2 linked regions of the Anolis sagrei genome follow. The protein of the gene in region 2 interacts with the protein of the main gene of each other region in a pairwise test. Links are inferred from orthologs where the notes say so. Each region holds a gene or a part of one and is shown on either strand. Other genes may lie near its edges.

Evidence for each region. The genes of interacting proteins can lie anywhere in the genome.
Region 1: the proteins of CEP76 (region 2) and THRA interact in binary tests that used the Homo sapiens proteins (3 or more experiments, as listed by UniProt). The two-hybrid records come from large-scale screens. The link is inferred for Anolis sagrei from reciprocal best matches to the Homo sapiens genes CEP76 and THRA.

The regions. Positions count from the first base shown.
Region 1 is NC_090026.1:40,792,612-40,799,965, reverse strand, and holds the start of THRA (thyroid hormone receptor alpha), read left to right. Parts: upstream 1-4,321; 5' UTR 4,322-4,674; intron 4,675-7,354.
Region 2 is NC_090024.1:66,286,391-66,293,555, forward strand, and holds the start of CEP76 (centrosomal protein of 76 kDa), read right to left. Parts: upstream 3,001-7,165; 5' UTR 2,652-3,000; coding exon 2,589-2,651; intron 1,142-2,588; coding exon 986-1,141; intron 1-985. Other genes in the region: PSMG2 (proteasome assembly chaperone 2), read left to right, coding at 3,166-3,225, 6,589-6,760. UniProt on the Homo sapiens protein: Centrosomal protein involved in regulation of centriole duplication. Required to limit centriole duplication to once per cell cycle by preventing centriole reduplication.

The DNA of each region.
Region 1 (7,354 bases), on a different chromosome or scaffold from region 2:
TTCATTGAAAAACTTTAGAAAAATGTGCTGCAGGATGTCCCACAAGAACAAAGTCTACTAAGAGCCCAGTATGTATGTCTACTCAATGCTTGTTCACAATTTTTGAGGCAATAACCTTATTAACCTGTCCTAAAATAAGGAATATGCAAGTGACATTTGAAAGTACACTTGAGACAGAGTGATATAGTTCAGTCCTCCTCCTAAGCGATTCCTCATAGTCCAAGTGTGATGGCCTTTCAAGTTCTTGGAAGACACTTGTGTTTTTTTTTAAATATGTGGAAGTTGGTTCACAGCCAATCAAAACGCAGTCTTCACAGAGTGGGGGTCCCAACCAGTGGCGTAATTAACACCACGACAGTGGCTTCTCAATCTGGTGCAACCTTCTTCTGCCTTCACAGCCATTGTAACATGTGCCATGTTATCTTCTGCCTGATCCAATGTTGAGGTCTTCGGATTGTGCTTGGTCTGGAACCTCCCCTGTGCACCCCCCCCCCCAGGAGTGCATGAATCTAGTGGTTATGCCCATAGGTTCATTGAAACATGCAAGCCGCCTCACAACGACAAGGTGACAATTCATCAAGGGGTATATATTTCATATATTTCAGTATGAGCTTCATCATATGTATCATGAACAAAACTATGCCTCAAAGGTGCTGCAAAGGTGGACTTCTCCACTTTTCCTTTCTTATGTCCAGTGTTTATTAGTCATTTTATGATTGTTTATTGTTGGACTATTCCTCCCGCCCCTTTCTCTCCTTCTTCTTTCTCCCTGTTCTTCCTTCTCTACCGATTCTTGGACTGCAACTCCCACCAGTCCTCCTGATCTCTCTGTCTATCTATCTCTATGTCATCTAGCTATCTGGAGGATTGCTGGCAGTTACAGTCCGGGAATAGGAAATTGGAAATATGGAGAGATTGGGATGCTTTCATAGAAATCCAAGGAGAAGAAAGCTTGCATCTTGGAAGCAGTGCATTTGGATCATCCTCTCCTCCTAAAGGGCCTGGTCTAGAGGATGCTGGGAGCTGTAGTCTGGAAGCAAGTGTGGCTATGCTATTGTGTGTTTTGTTTGCTGGGGGAGTCGTTTTTGCGCGTGCGCTGTAGCATCTTTTTGCTTTTTTGCCTTTTTAAGTCCCTTCTGTTGTGTTTTTCAGTGTTTTATGAGTGATGGTCACTCATTAGCCTGATAGGTGTATTGTGTCCAAATTTTGTGTCAATTCACCCAGTTGGTTTTGAGTTATGTTAATCCCACAAACTAACATTACATTTTTATTTATATAGATGGCGCATGGAGGGCAGAAGACCAATGCAAGTGTTAGATATAGATATACACAGCAGAAATCGCTAAATGCAAAAGGCAGCTTTTCAATCTTTCTCCAAATACATAAAATGTGTTGCTGTTAATTCACATTGAGTTGGCTTTGACTTTGGGCACAACATGAATGCAGTTTGATGCTATTTTAGCTGCTATGGTTCAATACGATGGAATAATAGGATTTATAACTTTACAAGGTTTTTAGCCTTCTCTGCCAAAGCATGCTGGGATCTAATCTACAACTTCTAGGATTCCATAGCACTGAGTCCTAGCAGTGAAAGTGGCATCAAATTGCATTAATTCTACAGTGTAGATGAACCCATTCTCGTTTCCTTATTATTTTTTTCTAAGGAGTCATGTCATTTCATGAAATGTGCAAGGTAAAACGGTTTCTGTTGGTCCATTTGATTTGCTCATTTGTCTTTGTCGCATGCACAAAATTATTTTTAAAATATTGTGTAAAATGACCTTTCGGACAATTGTATATGGTGCATATGAAACATAAAGTAATTTACTGTCTAGATCTGAATTCAATCTCCAAGATATCGCATTATGTATGCAAATACAGGGATTCCAAAATAATAAAAAAATTGGACATCCAAGGCTGGACCTACACTGCCATATAATCCAGTTTCTAAATCTAGATTGAACTGGATTATATGAGTCTATACTGCCGTATAGTCCCGTTCAATGCAGACAATCTGGATTCAGAAACTGGATTATATGGCAGTGTAGATGGGACCCAAAATACTTTTGATTCCAAACATTTCAGGTAAGGGATACTCAACTAGTACAAAGGGAAAAAACAAAGTGTCAGTACCTTCACTGAGCCAGATGTCATTTGTAGGCAGGGTTGCAATTATTCCAAAGACCTAGCAAAACTGCAACTCCCAGGATCCCACAGCCTTGAGCCTGGGCAATTAACGTTACAATGATTCCAAAGACCCTGTAAAACTACAATTCCCAGGATTACATAGCCTTGAGCCTGAGCAAGAGTTGCAAGGATTCAAAAGACCTTGCAAAACTACAACTCCCAGGATTCTATAGCCTTGAGCCAGGGCAGTTAAGAATTGCAAATGATTCAAAAGACCTTGCAAAACTACAACTCCCAGGATGCCATACCCTTGAGCCTGGACAGTTGAGAGTTGCAAGGATCCAAAAGACCTTGCAAAACTACAACTCCCAGGATCCCATAACTTTGAGCCATGCATTGACTCTAAAAAACCTTGCAAAACTACAACTCCCAGGGTTCCACAGCCTTCAGCCTGAGCAGCTAGAGTTGCAAGGACTCAAAAGACCTTGCAAAACTACAACTCCCAGGATCCCATAACCTTGAGCCATGCATTGACTCTAAAAAAAACTTACAAAACTACAACTCCCCGGACTCCATTGCCTGGAGTCTGCAAAACTACAACTCCCAGGACCCCATAACTTTGAGCCATGCATTGACTCTAAAACCTTGCAAAACTACAACTCCTAGGGTTCCACAGCCTTGAGCCTGGGCAGTTACGACTTGCAATGATTCAGAAAGACCTTGCAAAACTACAACTCCCAGGATCCCACAGCCTTGAGTGTGGGCAATTAACGTTACAATGATGCCAAAGACCCTGTAAAACTACAATTCCCAGTATTCCACAGCCTTGAGCCAGGACAGTTAGAATTGCATTGATTCAAAGACCTTGCAAAACTACAACTCCCAGGATTCCATAGCCTTGAGCCTGGGCAGTTAAGAGTTGCAAATGATTCAGAAAGACTTTGCAAAACTACAACTCCTAGGATCCCATAACTTTGAGCCATGTTTTGATTCTAAAAGACCTTGCAAAACTACAACTCCCAGGATCCCACAGCCTTGAGCCAGGGCAGTTGAGAGTTGCAAATTATTCAAAAGTCCTTGCAAAACTACAACTCCCAGGATCCCACAACCTTGAGCCATGCATTGACTCTAAAAAACCTTACAAAACTACAATGCCCGAGATTCCACAGCCTTGAGCCTGAGCAGCTAGAGTTGCAATGATGCAAAAGACCTTGCAAAACTACAACTCCCAGGATCCCATAACCTTGAGCCATGCATTGACTCTAAAAAAAACTTACAAAACTACAACTCCCCGGACTCCATAGCCTGGAGTCTGCAAAACTACAACTCCCAGGACCCCATAACTTTGAGCCATGCATTGACTCTAAAACCTTGCAAAACTACAACTCCTAGGGTTCCACAGCCTTGAGCCTGGGCAGTTGAGAGTTGCAATGATTCAAAAGACCTTGCAAAACTACAAATCCCAGGACCCCATAACCTTGAGTCATGCATTGACTCTAAAAAGCTTTGAAAAACTACAACTCCCAGGATTCCATAGCCGTGAGCCTGAGCAAGAGTTGCAAGGATTCAAAAGACCTTGCAAAACTACAACTCCCAGGATCCCATAAGTTTGAGTCATGCATTGACTCTAAAAAGCTTTGAAAAACTACAACTCCCAGGATTCCGTAGACTTGAGCCTGAGCAGCTAGAGTTGCAAGGATTCAAAATACCTTGCAACCCTACAACTCCCAGGATTCCACAGCCTTGAGCCTGGGCAGGTAAGAATTGCAAATGATTCAGAAAGGCCTTGCAAAACTACATCTCCCAGGATCCCATAACCTTGAGCCATGCAATGACTCTAAAAAACCTTGCAAAACTACAATTCCCGGGATTCCACAGCCTTGAGCCCGAGCAGCTAGAGTTGCAAGAACTCAAAAGACCTTGCAAAACTACAACTCCCAGGATCCCACAACCTTGAGCCGGGGTAGTTAAGGAGTTGCGTGGATTCCGAAGGCCATGTCCAACTAACTTGCCTTCGGGACGCCTCTTTGGGGAGGGAGAGAGGTGGGAGTATTTTCCTCCTTCCTTCCTTCCCTCTTTTCCTTCCTTCTTTCCCTGGCAGCACGCGCCCTCGGCCTGCAGGGTGCAGGCGTCAGCTAAGGCGGCGGTGGCAGCAACAGCAAGAGAGGCAGAAGCAGCAAAAGCAGGGAGAGGGAGGAGGAGGAGGAGGAGCCAGGGCCGGCCTCCTTCCCTTCGCCTCTCGAGTCCATTTCCCCAGCTCTAGTGACACCAACGCACCAGGCGAGCGCCGCTGCCCTTGCTCCTGCTGCTTCTCCTCCTCCTCCAGGATCTTACAAACCTCCTCGTCGGTGGCGCCTCCTTCTCTTCTTCCTCCTCCTCCTCCTCCAAAGAAGAAGAGCAAGGGAAACTCCAGCTTGGAAAGGAGGGAGGAGGAGAAGAAGGGGAGGGGGGGGGGCAAGGCAAGCACCACGCCAGCTTCCTGCTTGCAAAGAAGAAGGGAGGGGGGGAAAGAGAGAGAGAGCAAAGGCGACGCTGAAGCAGCCAAAGGTAAGCTTGTGGGCAAAGAGTGGCTTGGTTGGAAGAGGGAGAGGGTGTCCTTCCTGAACCCCAATATGTCTTCCCTCTTTTGAGCCTTGTATATGTATGTAGATATATTTTTCCAGCTGTCTCCACCCTCCTTGCCCCGTCCCATCGCAGCTGTTCCTGTCACTGCCAACGTTGCAAATCTGAAGATTTGGGGAGGGTTCCCCCCTTTTCCCACCCTTTTCCCACCCTCCCCTTCTCTTTTCCATGGAGGGATTTCATATGGAGAGCAATCCCTTCTCTCCCTGTTTTTCCCCCCTCCCTCTCTCTCTCTCTCTTCCTTTAATCTCATCACTTACTCTTCTCTTTCTCCCCCTCCTCCCCCTGCTTGGCATTAACCTATATATATATCTATATATCTATATGTTCTGCCTCTCCAGTAATGGAGAGAGAGAGTGCTTTAAAGGAGGGGCAAAAAAATAAAAGGGGGAGGAGGAGAAAAAAAAGAGAGAGACAGCTCTGTAGTTGTAGACACTTCCCTTTTAAAAAATATGTGTGTGTATGTGTGTTTTTCCTGGTTTGTTTACTGCGCTGCTCAAGAGATTGGTGCCAACTTGGGGTTTGCAGGAAAATATATATAAAGGGCTTGGACGGGAGTTGTTGTGCCAACTTGAGGTTTAAAAATATGTCATAGATATAAACACACATGCACATGTGTATATGTATATATATATATATATATATATATATATGCACACACACTTATGTATATAAGTGCACACACAGACATATATATCTGTGTATATATATCTATACACACATATATGCACACACACATCTGTATATATAGGTACACAGACATATATATGTATGTATATGTATGTATGTATATATACACACACACATTATATGCACACACACATCTGTATATATATGCGCACACAGATATATATATACCTGTGTATATATATCTATACACATATATATGCGCACACACATCTGTATATATAGGTACACAGACATATATATGTATGTATATATATACACAACCATATATATGCACACACACATCTGTATATATATGCACACACAGACATATATCTGTGTATATATATCTATACACATATATATGCACACACATCTGTATATATATGCACACACAGACATATATATCTGTGTATATATATATACACATATATATGCGCGCGCACATCTGTATATATAGGCACACAGACATATATATGTATGTATATATATGTATGTATATATATGCACACACATATATGCACACACATATTTGTATATATATGCACACACAGACATATATATGTGTGTGTATATGTGTATGTATATATATCTATACACACACATATATATGCGCACACATATATATGTGTATGTCTATATAAATAAAAATGTAATGCTCGTTTGTGGGATTAACATAACTCAAAAAACACTGGAGGAAAAACTATATCTATACACACACACATATATATATGCACACACAGACATATATATGCATGTATATATACATACATACACACATATATATGCACACACATATTTGTATATATATGCACAAAGAGATATATATGTGTGTGTGTATATATATATATATATATATATATACACACATATATATGCACACACATACATATATATGTGTGTATATCGATATAAATAAAATGTAATGTTTGTTTGTGGGATTAACATAACTCAAAAAACACTGGAGGAATTGTGTATATATATGTACGTATATATATATCTATATACACTCACATATATATGCACACACACATATATATGTGTGTGTATGTATATCGATATAAATAAAAATGTAATGTTTGTTTGTGGGATTAACATAACTCAAAAAACACTGGAGGAATTGACACCAAATTTGGACACAAGACGCCTATCAGGCCAACAAATGACCATCACTCACAAAAACACTGAAAACCACAACAGAAGAGGCTTAAAAAGCAAAAAAATACATTGCAACACATGTGCAGAACCACATACACACATATATACACAAATATATATACACATACAAAACACATATACACAGACTGGGCCACAGCAACGCATGCCAGGGAATGGCTAGTGTGTGTGTGTGTGTGTGTGTATACACACGCACATATACACAAACACATAGGACTGGGATTTGAGTTATACCCCCTCCCTTGCACATTCCCTTCTGGAATTAAACATTGCACTGTGTTGTCAGAGGCTTTCATGGCCAGGATCACTGGATTGCTGTGAGTCTTCCGGGCTGCATGGCTACGTTCTAGAAGCATTCTCTCCTGACGTTTCGCCTACATCTTTGCCAGGCATCCTCAGAAGTTGTGATGTCAGTTGGAAATGAAGCAAGTAATGTTTATATATCTGTGGAAGGTCCAAGGTGAAAGACAGAACTATTGTGTGTTGGAGATAAGTTTGATTCACAGGGAGGAATCAGCCAGGCTTTGAAGCTGCAGAGCTATTGTATACTCATCAAGGTGATTAATTGCCACATTCACACTTGCCTCCAGCAGACATGAGTTCTTTCTCCCATCCACAAATATATAAACCCCACTTGTCTAGCTTCCAACAGATCGCACAACCGCTGAGGATGCCTGCCATAAATGTGGGCGAAACGTCAGGAGAGAATGCTTCTGGAACTTGGCCATACAGCTTGAAAAACTCACAGCAATCCAGAGATTCT
Region 2 (7,165 bases):
ACTGTCATCTTGCAAATGACTGATTCTTTTGTGTGTGTGCTAAGAGAGGCATCTAGCAGTAATAATTTGAAACTCAAGATAGAATTTATGGGCATTTTGTGGTTGCAGAAATATAGCAATTTCAAATTAATTCCATTTTTTAAAAACACCTTACATAAAATGGTTAGCCAGCAAGGGGTTTAACCTGCATCCAGAGCTGCAATATCCCTAGATAGGATAGGAAGATAACTCACAAAGTGATGTTCCCTTTTCTGTCAAACTTAAAATGACCGTATATGTTTCCGTCACCAGACATGATTTTAAGTATTGCATGTGCGATTGTCTTTGAATTGAGTGACTTCTGATGTCAAATAAGTGCTTTCTTCTTATAACCTAATTCTATTTCAGGTTCGTCCCTCATGCAGCAACATATCCCTTGAGTGTATGGGTGAGTTAGAGGATGGAGGAAGATTCAGAAGTGAAGGCAATTGACTGGAGCAGATAGATCCAGCTCACCCTAACTTCCAGCAGATGACAACAAAGAAATTTACCTACGCAGTTTTGATCTATTAAAATTAACACTGCTCCACAATGAATCCAATCATAAATATTTTTGTACCAGGTTATCTGTATTATACACGAGAGCCCGGTGGTGCAGTGGGTTAAACCACTGAGCTGCTGAACTTGCTGACTGAAAAGTTGGTGGTTCAAATCCAGGGAATGGAGTGAGCTTCTGCTATTACCCCCAGCTTCTGCCAATCTAGCAGTTCGAAAACATGCAAATGTGAGTAGATCAATAGATACCGCTCCAGTTGGAAGGTAACGGTGCTCCAAGCAGTCATGCTGGCCACATGACCTTGGAGGTGTCTACAGACATCAGCTCTTCGGTTTAGAAAAGGAGATGAGTACCAACCCTCCCGAGTCGAACATGACTAGACCTTTACCTTATCTGTATTATGTAATCAATATCTGGTACCATTTCAGATGTTTTCTTCAAACTACTCACAGTTACAAAGCTGAGTTCTTTCATAACATCATTAATGATTCCTCTCCGTATCAGGGCTTTCATTAGATGTTGTTCTGAGAGTTGCTGGTGTTCAGGTGCCAGTTCTTCACGAATAGTCTCAGCAAGGACTTCTCGGACCCTGCTGTGGACATCCATCTATGAAGAAATAATAATACTAATAATAATATAGGTATATGTTTATATTACATGTAATATTATTAATAACATTACAATACAATGGTATAGTACAATATAGTAATAGTTAATATTGATATTGTACTATGCTAATAATATAATATATTGGACGTATGTATATCCTGTAAGCCGCTCTGAGTCCCCTTTGGGGTGAGAAGGGCAGCATATAAATGTTGTAAATAAATAAATAAGTACAGTGGGCCCTTGGTATCTGCTGGGGTTTGGTTCCAGGTCCTCCTGCGGATACCAAAAGTCATGGATGCTCAAGTCCCATGATATACAGTGGCATAATAAAGTGGTGTTCCTTATACAAAATGACAAAATCAAGGTCGGCGGTTTGGATTTTTTTGGAGGCGGGGGGAGTGTTTTTAAGCCATGGATGTTGGGAATCGAAGAATGCAGAATATGTGGGTATGAAGGTCCAACTGAATAAACGAAGGCAGGCAAACCAGCCTTGGTGTATAGTTGACTATTTCAGACCAAGCCAATTTCAGATTTAAACCAAAGATGGAGAGTATCAGGTTCGATTATTCCTGCTCATAAGCCATAGTTCAGTGGGATTCCCACTTTTGCTTATTTGCTTATTTTTTAATTCCACTGTTATTACGAGGGGTATTTTTTTAAGTAAGATCCGTTTTATTGTAGACACTAGTAGTTTGCGCGCATACCGCAACTAGCGCGTGCGTTGTGTACCGGCATGCCTCAGGAACAACTGTGCTCAGTTTCCGCTCTGTAGCTAACCTGTACGGTTCTGTTCTGTGCTTTAAAAATGTTTAAGACTATCAACTCACCCTCCGCATGTGAGGTTCGCTCAGTGATACGGTTTTTGCCAGCAAGGAACCTGCCTGTTGCAGAAATCCATCGACAGATTTGTGAAGTGTACGGTGATACTGTTATGAGTGAAAGCAAAGTGCGTAAGTGGGTACGACAATTCAAAGATGGCCGTGACAACGTCCATGATGAGGACCGTTCAGGTTCCTTGCTGACAAAAACCGTATCACATACGGCTGAGCACAGTTGTTCCCGAGGCATGCACGTGCTCATTGCGGTATGAGCGCGAACTACTAGTATCTACAACAAAACGGACCTTACTTTTAAAATACCCCTCGTATATACACCCAGCCTCTGCATCCATTGATTCAACCATCTGTAGCAGCCATCCCCAAACTGTGGACTTCCTATGGTGCAAGCATGGGCCAACTTGGGCCCTCCAGGTGTTTTGGACTTCAACTCTCAGAATTCCTAACAGCCTCAGCTTAAGCGGCTGAGGGGGGGGGGGGAGGAAAGGGCCTGAGGCTGTTAGGAATTCTGGGAGTTGAAGTCCAAAACACCTGGAGGGCCCAAGTTGGCCCAAGCCTGCTATAAAGGCTTTCAATGGGCATTTTCTCTTCCTCCTCCTCCTTCTCACCTTGGTCAGCTGCTGGTGAATGATCTGCTTGAGCTCTGAGGCTTTCCCGGGAGCCAAGGCCATGGCTCAGCAACTGTCCCAATTCCTTAGACTAAGTGGACACCAGACAGGCCTTCATCCCAGGCACCTCCAACCACAACACCACACTCCTCCGTTCTCCCGCGCGCTCAAACCGCCTATCCCGTCTCCCCCCTCCCAAGAGCACCCATTGGCTGGATCTCCAGCCAATCAGCAAACTCGGCCCCTCCCACAGCTAGCCATGCGCTTGCTCGGGCCTCAACCGCCTTTCAAAAAATAAAAGGTGTCTATCACAATTGCCTGATAGCAAGGCAATCGAGTCTTGTTAGGCAATTAATACCCGTACGGCAGAACAACAACAACAACAACAACAAAAATGTAATTTTCCTTCAAAGGAACTGTCGCTCGCCCGTTAACTGGCTGTCAGTAAGCGCAGATGGGGACAGGCACTGTGCAAGACACCTCTCCGAGGCGGTGAACAAGAAAGGCCCCTTGCTCTCGCTACCAAAGGGAACTCTTGTGTAGGCCTGCGGTGCGTCCAGTCAGCGTCTTGGATAGAATGTTCGTTCCCTGCGAGGGCCGCGCGCCCGCTGACTTCAAAGGCTGCACGCTGCTAATGGTAATGGACAGTTCCTTCCTTGCGCGGCGCGAGACGGCCGGAGAGAGCGCCCAACCCCCCGTTGCCCGGGCAACGCGCGAGCGGGCGCGTGGCATTGAGTCAGGCGTGGGAGGAGGAGGAGGAGGAGGAGGGAGGCAGTAGGAGGGGTCTCTACCTAAAATATGGAGGGAGGGAGTGTGTGTGTGCCCCTTTAAGGGCGCATCTACACTGTAGAATTTAAAGCAGTTTGACATTGCTATGGGATGACTGTAGAATTTAATGCAGTTTGACACCATGGCTCAGTGCTATGGGATGATGGGAGCTATAATTTTGGTGAGACTCCTGCAGTGGTTAGACTGGTTCTCAACCTGGGGTCCCCAGATGTTTTTGGCCTACAATTCCCAGAAATCCTAACAGCTGGTAAACTGGCTGGGATTTCTGGGAGTTGTAGGCCAAAAACATCTAGGGACCCACAGGTTGAGAACCACTGAGAGGATACCTCTTGTCTTTTGCTGAATGTAGCATTTGCGGGGTTTTCTTGCGAGGTCTATAGATAGTTTGTAGGTATATCTTCGAAGGCTTTCATGGCCGGAATCACTGGGTTGTTGTTTGTTTAGGGCTATAAAGCCCTAAACGACTCCGGCCCTGTTTACCTCTCCGAACGTATTCTCCCCTATGAATCATCAAGATTATTAAGATCGTCTGAAGAGGCCCTGCTCTCCGTCCCACCGGCCTCGCAAGCGCATCTGGTGGGGACGAGGGACAGGGCCTTCTCGGTGGTGGCCCCTCAACTCTGGAACTCTCTCACACTGGAGATCAGAACCGCCCCTTCTATCCTGACATTTAGGAAACAGGTGAAGACGTGGTTATGGAGACAGGCATTCGACTAGTGAGCCAATACCCTGAGATATGGATGGAGGATGATGAACAACGATTTTAGTGTGACGACTGACCATTGTAGTTATTGAATGTAATTGCTGTTTTAATGTTTTACTGTAATACGAATTATGATGTTTTATTGACTGTATGTGATATTATGGTCGGAAACCGGCCTGATTCCCTCAAGAGAGGTGAGAAGGTCGGTATACAAAACTTTTAAATAAATAAATAAATAAATAAATAAAATTTTCAGGCTGTATGGCCATGTTCCAGAAGCATTGTCTCCTGACGTTTCGCCCACATCTATGGCAGGTATCCTCAGAGGTTGTGAGGTTTGTTGGAAACTAGGAAAATTGGGTTTATATATCTGTGAAATGTCCAGGGTTGGGAGAAAGAACTCTTGTAGGGTGAGGCAGCATAACTTTCTTTTTTCAAAACTTAATAAAACCCATTGTATGAATCGGAATTTTTAAAATATATAATGTAGGCGAATACCTAAAGTTTTGTTTTACATAGTTTTGAAGATCAAATTAGGTAGGTGACGTCCTCCATTCTCCATACACCGAGTAAACCAAATCTTGTAGGGTCCTTGGATGGTTCACATAAACACGGGATTTCAAAAAAACCCATAGAAAAAAATCACAAGGGGCCAAATCTGGAGAACGGGCCGGCCACTCCAAATCCGCTCGAAAAGTAGGCCTCAATGGCAAAAGCACATTCCTCACTGCTCCAACGCATGATGGCGACTGAACTGTGTCAGGACAAAACTTTATACTCCCGCCTCTCAAACGAGACCACTAGCGCTCCGCTACGTCTTCAACCGACTGAATGGCACGCATTTTTTTAAAAGTATCTGTGGAAGGTCCAGGGTGGGAGAAAGAGCTCTTGTCTGTTGGAGGTAGGTGTGAATTTTCAATTGGCCACCTTGATTAGCATTTAATGGCCTAGAAGTTTCAAGTTTCAGGATTTATTTATTTCATATCAAAAGCATTGCATAAATTAGTGTAAAACTGATAAAAATAGAAGGAGCACAGGCAGCTAAACATCTTTTGACCAAAAACAGGCAACAGCAATGGCATTGTCTGTAGCCTCCAACAATTCTTCCTCTGTACATGAGGCAGGGCATAGTGGACAAGCATACAGGAGTGGAGTTGTCTGTAAGTTTCAGGAGAAACATCAGGAGAGAATGCTTATGGAACATGGCCATACAGCCCGAAAAACTTACAACAACCCAGTTTGTAGGTTTTCTTTATCAGGGTTCCTATGCGGTCAGTGGTTCCCTTGATGTATGTCAAGAATACATATGGACAAAAGGGATCCTCTCACCTCTGCAGGAGTCTACTATGCAGCTGTGGACAAGTCTACATAGGGACCACCAAATGCACCATTGCCCAAACACGAATAAAGGAACATGAAAGGCACTGTAGACGAATTCAACCAGAGAAGTCAGCCATAGCAGAGCACCTGATGAACCAACCTGGACACAGAATATCATTTGAGAACACAGAAATGCTGGACCACTCTAACAACTACCATGTCAGACTACACAGCGAAACCATTGAAATCCAAAAGCATGTGGACAATTTCAACAGAAAGGACGAAACCATGAAAATGAACAAAATCTGGCTACCAGTATTTTTTTAAAAGAACTCTAAAATCAGGACAGTAAATAAAGAGGAACACTCAAACAAGGGAATTCTAGACAGGAAACAATCAGCCAGCTAACACCTCCCAACAAAGGATTCCCTCAGGCAGCTAGCAGCCAGGCTTTGACGCTACAAGGCCATTAAATGATAATCAAGCTTCCAGTTGCAACATTCACACTTTCCTCAAACAGAGAAGAGTTCTTTCTCCAACCATGGACATTCCACAGATATATAAACCCCACTGTCCTAATTTCCAACAGACCTCACAACCTCTGAGGACACCTGCCATAGATGTGGGCAAAATGTCAGGGGAGAATGCTTCTGGAACATGGTAATACAACCTGAAAAGCTCACCACAACCTATGTGTAAGATTGCTAGCAAAACTATGTATATAATAATTGCTGAAGAATCCTGTCTCTTTGTGTTAAAAAGGATTTGATACCCTTTCGCCTCAGTTCGATTAAAAGGACAATTATCTGAACAAGCAGATACCATTTTTAAAATTGGTAAATAGCAGCCACATTACTTTTTTCTCCAAAACATTATAAAATATACTAATACAAACTGCTTTGAGTCTTCTTTGTGAGGTGTAAATAAACATAGTAATAATAATAATCTGAATGTGTACATTTTGCTATAAATTACTTTGGCATTACTTTACTATAGTATTGTGGTTTGACAGCTGAAATGTGTTAATACCACTACTGCTAATAATAATAACCTGCCCTATCTCCCCAAGGGGACTCAATAGAAATGGTTAATAATGTTCAGTGTTCAACTAACATGTTTTTTTAAATTTGAAAATCAGTCATTTTTTTCAGATGATGTAACTCGCATGCATCTGTTATGTCATTTCAGCCCGCGGTATCGGTGGGGAATGTTGGCCAGCTGGCTGTAGATCTAGTTATTTCCACCCTTGACATGTCTAAAGTTGGGTACTTTTATACTGATTGTCTTGTGCCAATGATTGGAAATAATCCATATGCAACAACAGAAGAGAATGCAACAGAGCTGTGTATAAATGCTGAAGGTAAGTACATTGAATGTAATGTTGGGTGCTAACTTGGGCTTGTTGTGTCTTCTCCAGAGAAACACCCTTCTTTTTAGAATGAATTTGAGCATTTTAACTCCTTGCTGTATAGAAATAGTATATGAGAAATAGTATCTGAAGTGAATTATCCCTGCTTTCCAGCACTAATTGATGTGGATATTACAGTTTTCAGCAACATTTCTCATTCAGATTGTATATATTAGCACACAATTCTTCCAAAGGGATAGTACATAATTGCTTATACTATTAATACCGAGAATCATACATTAAAATGGGAAGTGTATAAACATGCTTTTCTCCCTGTATAGTACAGATATTCCCTGTATAGTACAGATATTCAAATGGTCTTAATTGGATATTCCATGAAGTCTCAATAAAATACAG